Caenorhabditis elegans: one gene and its partner. The protein of the gene in region 2 interacts with the protein of the main gene of each other region in a biochemical or structural test. Each region holds a gene or a part of one and is shown on either strand. Other genes may lie near its edges. The genes, in order: ubq-2 and ubc-20.

Region 1 (3,385 bases), about 13 Mb from region 2:
ATATCATGATTAAAAAAAAAATCAAAAAAATGTTCTAGATTTTATATGATTTTTTGAAAATTAGAAAAATCTCAGTTTTCCCCCTAATTCCTATTTGAATTTCCGCCAATTGGATTTGTTCGATGGAGCGCGCTTGCATTATTTTAGTTAATTAATTTTTATTTATTCTCGTTATTTGACTGATTTCCTTCATTATTTGTGTATTTTTATCTAAAAAAAGAGAGAAAAATGCAAATCGTTCATTAAAAAATCACTGAAAATTGGTAAAACTTGTGTGAAAAATGCTAATTTCAGACTTGTTGTCGTCGGAACTCATAATTTTATAGTTTTACGCATTTTCAGTGATGTTTTAATGAACAATTTTCATTTATCTTGCATTTTTCTCTCTTTTTCCAATAAAAATACACAAGTAATAAAGGAAATCAGTCAAATAACGAGAATAAATAAGATTAAATTTTAAAAATAATGCAAGCGCGCCCCGTCGAACAAACTTAATTGGCGGTAATTCAAATAGTGAAAACTGAGATTTTTGGTGGCCCTATAAGAGCTCTTATAAGAGTATTTTAAAGCAATTTCCCCATTGACGATACTCCATCCTTAAACAAAAAAAGAAAGTAAAAGAATAATTATTAGAGAATTTATTGAATTTTACAGAACAAATACAAGTGAAGATTATTAACAATATCGATCAGATTTCATTTTCATCCGTCTGTCCAGCAGCAGCTCGTGTGCACTTCCGTCGGCCTGCGCTTTCTTAACTCCTTTCTTGTCCTTCACGTCAATCGCAATATGTCGGTTCTTGAGATCAACCTTCGAGTGCTGATACATCTTCACGTAGGCCGTCTCACACTCCCGAGCGTTTTTGCGGTCTTCCACAGATCTCCAATCGACTGGGCCTTCTTGTATAGCGTCTGTACGGATCTGGAAATTGAATTTAATCGGATTTTATCTATTTATATCTAAATTAGCACTTACATTAACCATTTCATTCTCCGTAGCGGTTCTACTAGCCACATAAATATGCCCCTCTTTATTTGGAACTGTAGAGAGGAAAAGTGGTGAGGAGACGGCTTGGAACGCGGTTTTTCCCTCCTGGAAAACCAACACGAATTGCTCGCGGGATCCAATAGCTTCAGCCATGGCAACCAATTGATATTCGCTGTCCACTCCAACATATCTTCCGAATCCTGTCTTCAAACTGATTTTACTATCGTCTGGAGTTTTGACGAGCGCGAAAATTTCCTCAGGATTCGGGCCTTCTCCCTCCGGATGTGGAAATCCAATTGTGAATTTTCCGTTGTCCATTGCAGCGACATAAGTTCGCGTTGAGCCGGCTCCACTGGCAACTTCGATGGCGACGTTGGTTCCTCCTTTCATATCGAATTCATCGGCAATTTTGCGCCAACCACCATTTTCGACGGTGTCTGGATCGATTTTCTCCTTGTCGTCTTTGTTCTTCTTCTTTTTCTCCTTTCCCACTTTGAATCTGCAACGAGTGAATTAATGGAGGATTTTATACACTTTAAACTTGAATATGTCACTTACAAATTCTTTTTTCCGGCTTTTAATTTCAATCCACCACCTTTTACAGCACTGTAGTCAGCGCCTGGCATTTTTTGAAGTTTTCTGCAATAAAAAACAAAATTTTCATCAATAAAACTGTAAATTTCATAACAAAACTCGAAGAAATCAATAAAAAAACGTTCGAAAAACGTTTGAAACAAAAAAATAATATTCGAATTCTTCTCCCCCTTCCCGTAAATCCTGCAGCTCTCTACCGTACTTTCGCCGTCTCTCAATTTCGCGGCGAGACCCATCACCACGGCAATCCTCCATTTGTGTCGCTGGGCCTAAATTTTTTCCGTTTTTTTGCTCGATTTTCGCCGTTTCTCTGCGAAATTTTTCCAAATTTCTGTTCAATTTAATCAAAATATTGTTCTGGACGCTTGTTCAGCATAGAAAGTGGAGATTCTGTTGTATTTTAAGCTTGGAAAACGAATTTATTATGAAATTTCATTTTTTTGCTAAATAATTTCTCTATTCTTGAATTTTTACAGCTTTTTAACGCAAAATATTCTTTCCTCTTTGTTCTAAATGGGTAGTTACACACATTATGCGGTCTATAACGTCTTTTGTCACCTTTGAAACTAGTCTCTAAAGAAAAATCAATAATTTTTGCCCCTACGCTCTCCTCCAAATGTTTCGCTCTCGCCGTCATTTTCTGACAATTTTACTCGGTTTCTTTTCAAATTATATAATTTCAGTCATGCAAATCTTCGTCAAGACTCTGACGGGTAAGACTATTACCCTCGAAGTCGAGGCTTCCGATACCATTGAGAATGTCAAGGCCAAGATCCAAGACAAGGAGGGAATCCCACCAGATCAGCAAAGATTGATCTTCGCCGGTACGTTATTATTCAGACCTGATATATTCTTGAATTAATTTCCGGGCAAAACACCCAATATAATTTTCTAATTTCAGGAAAGCAACTCGAGGATGGACGTACTCTCTCCGACTACAACATCCAAAAGGAGTCTACTCTCCACTTGGTGCTCCGTCTTCGTGGAGGTTAGTTTTTTTCTAATGTTCAGGCATTGAGAAATATTTCTAAATTCAGGAATCATCGAGCCATCTCTCCGTCAGCTCGCCCAGAAGTACAACTGCGACAAGCAGATCTGCAGAAAGTGCTATGCTCGTCTCCCACCACGTGCCAGCAACTGCAGAAAGAAGAAGTGCGGACACTCCAGCGAGCTCCGCATCAAGAAGAAGCTGAAGTAATCTTCACTCGTTCCAGTCCATGTGTTGGCAAATAAATCGTTAATTTTAATTGAATGTCGCTATTTGTGCAAAACGTAAATTTCGTAAATATTGGATTTTTGGAATGAGATTTGTACATGGTAACAAAGAATCATTATAAAATACAGATGCTCAAATCAATACTTCGGGGAGCTCTAGTAGCTACAAAGCCGGGTCCAGCCAGGCGCCAGTTCTCATTCACAGCACTTCTGCGGAGCGAGACCCAGCCCAAAGAGATAATTAATCTGGAACGGGTTCAAGTTAGAAAGATGAAGAAGAGACGCCCAGTTGCTTCATCGGTTGTTCCAAAATCCCTACGAGAACCTTCAGTCGTCGCCATGGCACTTTCAGAATCACTGAACCTCAATGAGGTCATCATGGATGCACAGCTCAATGGAATGTATAATATAACTGCAATCGACGAGGACGCGGATGACAGCTTGCACTTTGTCAAAAAACTGGAATATACCATCAATCCAGGCGAACTCAGTGAAATTTTCGTGTTTCGAGATGGAGTTGTCGTTTTTTGGAACGTTGATTCTAGTCAGCGATCGCATATTCTACGGGAGCTCGAACGATACGCAGATG
Region 2 (3,924 bases):
TTACAGATAAAAATGGAGTTTTAAAGATATTAAAAACGACATTCGCCAAAAATTTTCAGAAAATCGGATAAAAATTGCAGCTACAACTCCGTCAATATAATTCATGGAAAGAGTATCGTTGCAAAAAAAATGGGGGTCAAAGGGGGGAAATTTCAATGAATAATATCGATAATAAATAGGCAAAACACACACAAATCAGGCGGAAAATCTACTATTCTGATCGGTTTTTTTGGGGTGAGGATGGTACGAATTGGTAAAAAGAAATACCAGTGGTGCGGGGGGTTGGGGACGAAAATTTCTCGGAAAAAAATGGAAGAAATAAGGGATTTTTAGGACACAAACTTCAAGACAAGAGGCTCACAGAAAAAATTCAAAAAAATCGAATAAAAAAGAATTTAAGAGAAAATGTAGACCGTCGAGCGATTGATGTCCCAATTGTTGCAGCTGAGCACGCTGACAGCCTCTTCCTCACGGACTCCCATATCCTTGAGCTTGTCGACGAGAGCCTGGTATCCGGCGTTTTTCACGGCTCCCTTTGCGAATTTTGTCGTCCAGTACTCGGCGGTGGCCTGAAAAATGGTGGAAATTTAGTATATTAAGAGCATATTAGGCTATTATTCAGTTTATGTTGTCTATGTTTGTCTATTTTCTAGGCTACCTAAAGTTTTCAAGCGTGGAAATTGAGAAAATTCGAATGAAAACCAATTTTTTTTTTGAGATTTCTCGAGTTTTTACACTCACTGGAAACAACGAATTTTCGGGGAAATTCGAGTTTTTAGACTAAAAACAACTTCGCCAAATTTGTTGAGTTTTGGGTCTGCTAAACTTTTTTATAATTTCTTTTTGAAAAACAAATTTCGATATGAGCTGAAAAACTGATTTTTCTCGGCTTCTGGGACAAAAAGTGATGAATTTGAACGATTTCCTGGTTGAAAAACAAGAAAAAACCAGTAAATTCCGCGAAAAAAACTAAATTTAAAGGATAAATACGGGATTAGGGTCTGCTAAATATTTAGCAGACCATACTTGGGTCTGCTAATTATTTAGCAGACCATACTTGGGTCTGCTAATTATTTAGCAGACCATACTTGGGTCTGCTAAATATTTAGCAGACCATCGAAAACCACGTGGCGTTTCTACAAGCCTGCTAATTAGTTGGCAGACCCAAATTCTAAAGAAAATCGGCCAAATTCTGAAATTTCAGGGCAAAAATCAATAATTTTCCGAGAAAATCGTGCATTTCAGTGTAAAACAGTCAGAATTGTCTCCAAAATTCGGGAATTAACGAATTTTGCACGTTTCCCATCGAATTTTCTCAATTTTGACGCTTCAAAACTCGAGTTGGCCTGAAAAATGGGAAATTATAGATAATTTTTGGGGCAAAATACGCAAAAAAACACACAAAATAAGGGAAGATTTGGGTCTGCTAATTACTTAATTACTTAGCAGACCCATATTGATTTTTTAATCGGATTTCGCAATATTTTCCCCATTTTTCCGCGAATTTTCTGAATTTTCCACGCTGCTACCTTGAAAACTGCTGGCTTCTCCATGTATTGCTTGGCGACGACGGCATCTTGAGGATCCTTGGGCTCCGGTGTGCACATCAACGCCTGAATCGACAGGAGAACCGTGCGAAGAGTCAGCGAAGCGGCCCTGAAGTTGAAAATAAATTAAATTTTCCGATTTTAAAATAATAATCGCAATATTACCATTGATCCTTAAGAATATCGAGGCAAATGACGCCGGTCTGCGAGCTGACATTCGGGTGCCAGATTTTTGTGCTGAACTTGACCTGAAAAACCGCGATTTTTACACAAATTTCGACAATTTTCAAGCTTTCCAGGCAGAAAAACTCGTACATTTGGTGGCGAGAATGGATATTGGTCTGGAATCTTAATATCCAAATCGAACATTCCACCGGCGTATGGAGTGTCTGGTGGACCGCGGATGTGTCCCTGAAAACCGATAAAAATTGAGATTTCCGACACACAATTCGCGGCGTTTTACCTTGATTTCGGTGAGATTCTCGTTCAATATCTCGATCATAATTCCGGTTTCGCTGATTTCCGAGTTTGTGACGACCTCTTTGCATTCTCGTTGGAGTCTGTTGAATGCTATGTTCGACATGGTCTGAAAACGATGGAAAATAGTGGAAAAACTCTGAAAAATCGACGAAAATCATGAAGTTCAAGGAATTATCGAAAAAGCTTCGAGAAAGTCTGAAATTATCATCAAAATTATTCAAACACCAACTCATGATAAACAGGGCGCGCCGCGGAATTTCGGAGCATCGTTTGCAACTGAAATTTTTGTTTTTCCCCGAATTTCATCGATTTTTCATCGTTTTTCGTGAATAAAAATCAAAAATCATGTAGAAAAATGTTGAAAAACCAATTTTTATGCGAAAAATTGCTTAAATCACAGTAAAATTGAACAAAAACCCGGAAAAACCGGAGAAAACCGTGCGTTAAGTCGGAGCATCGTTGTCGCCGAGAAAAAACGGGTTCAAACGATCAAACCCGTGATCGGAAGTATCGATTCACAGATTGATTAAGTTTTTATAGGAATTTTAGTTTTTGCATCATGATTTTTCTCAAAAAAGAAAATTGAACGTTTTTGCCGAAATACTTCTAATTTTCTCAAGGTTTAGAGGGAATTTCCATTTGTTTATTGAGAAACCCGTTCAGAAAATATCTAGAATTGATTGAAATCTTCAAAAAAAATCTTGCCAGGGAACAATTAGGTCTGCTAATTAATCAGCAGACCCAAATTTCAAAAATCCGCGTTTTTCTTCGTTTTTTTCCCAATTACTCTACTGAAATTCTCTGTTTTTCAGCCCAAAAATGTCTCGAAGCCGTTCCGCAGCTGCCAGCTCCTCTCAAAAGCCGGACGATATGGACCTAATGTCGCCGGACGGCTCGGCGAGCTCCCCATCGGCCCCAAACACGCCAGCGACGAATTCCGGCGGATTTAGCTCGGATAGAAAGAAGGCGACGCACTTGAGGTGTGAACGGCAGCGAAGAGAAGCTATAAATGTTTGTTGAAGCTTGGAAATTCGTGGAAAAAAGCTAAAATTTCAACTTTTCAGAGCGGATACAGTGATTTAAAGGATTTAATTCCTCAGACAACGACTTCGCTGGGATGTAAAACTACAAACGCCGCGATTTTATTCAGGTACTGGCTGAAAATACTGAAAAATTGAAGGAAAAATAACTGGAAAACATAAAAATTTGGGTCTGCTAAATATTTAGCAGACCATAGTTGGGTCTGCTAAATAATTAGCAGACCATACTTGGGTCTGCTAAATAATTAGCAGACCATAGTTGGGTCTGCTAAATAATTAGCAGACCAACGTGGATTTAGCATACCCAAATTGCGAAATTATCGAATTTTGATGACAATTTCAAGTTTTTTACATTAAAAAGCACGATTTTTTTCAAGAATTTCGTGTTTTTCAGCGGGAAAAATCACAATTCCAGTCTGCTAAGCCCATTTTTTGCTTAAAAACCTTCAAAATTCTGCAAATTTCCCCGAAAATTCAATAATTTCCAGAGCCTGCGACTTCATGTCCCAACTGAAAACCGACATCTCCGACGCCGACAAGCAACTGGCCCAGCTCAACGCACAAGCGGCCGCACTGGAAATGATTGCCTCAGAGTACGAGCAGATGGCTTCTTCGGTTCCTGACGCCGGCCAGTCCACGATTCAAGTCAAAATGGTTAGAATTTACTGAAATTTCCAGATTTTTAAGTCGAAATTCTCCAACTTTCAGCTCCAACTTCTCCTCGACGACTGCTTCACCTCGTTCTCCTCCCAAGTGGACTTCACCACGTACGCAACGATCACCAGAACGCTCCTGTCGTGGGTGGAGAGCCTGGCGCCAAATGCGGAGCCATTCAAGTCGACAGCCGGAAAAATGGT

The links.
Region 1: of the proteins of ubc-20 (region 2) and ubq-2, one has a biochemical effect on the other in vitro, tested with the Caenorhabditis elegans proteins (one study listed by BioGRID).

The regions. Positions count from the first base shown.
Region 1 is NC_003281.10:12,977,403-12,980,787, reverse strand, and holds ubq-2 (Ubiquitin), read left to right. Parts: upstream 1-2,264; 5' UTR 2,265-2,266; coding exon 2,267-2,405; intron 2,406-2,482; coding exon 2,483-2,569; intron 2,570-2,618; coding exon 2,619-2,779; 3' UTR 2,780-2,825; downstream 2,826-3,385. Other genes in the region: frg-1 (Protein FRG1 homolog), read right to left, coding at 676-921, 976-1,486, 1,546-1,613; ZK1010.2 (DUF155 domain-containing protein), read left to right, coding at 2,926-3,385.
Region 2 is NC_003281.10:187,047-190,970, reverse strand, and holds ubc-20 (UBC core domain-containing protein), read right to left. Parts: upstream 2,134-3,924; 5' UTR 2,131-2,133; coding exon 2,011-2,130; intron 1,959-2,010; coding exon 1,863-1,958; intron 1,796-1,862; coding exon 1,713-1,795; intron 1,657-1,712; coding exon 1,530-1,656; intron 570-1,529; coding exon 396-569; 3' UTR 24-395; downstream 1-23. Other genes in the region: mxl-2 (Max-like protein homolog 2), read left to right, coding at 2,847-3,038, 3,092-3,177, 3,556-3,721, 3,776-3,924.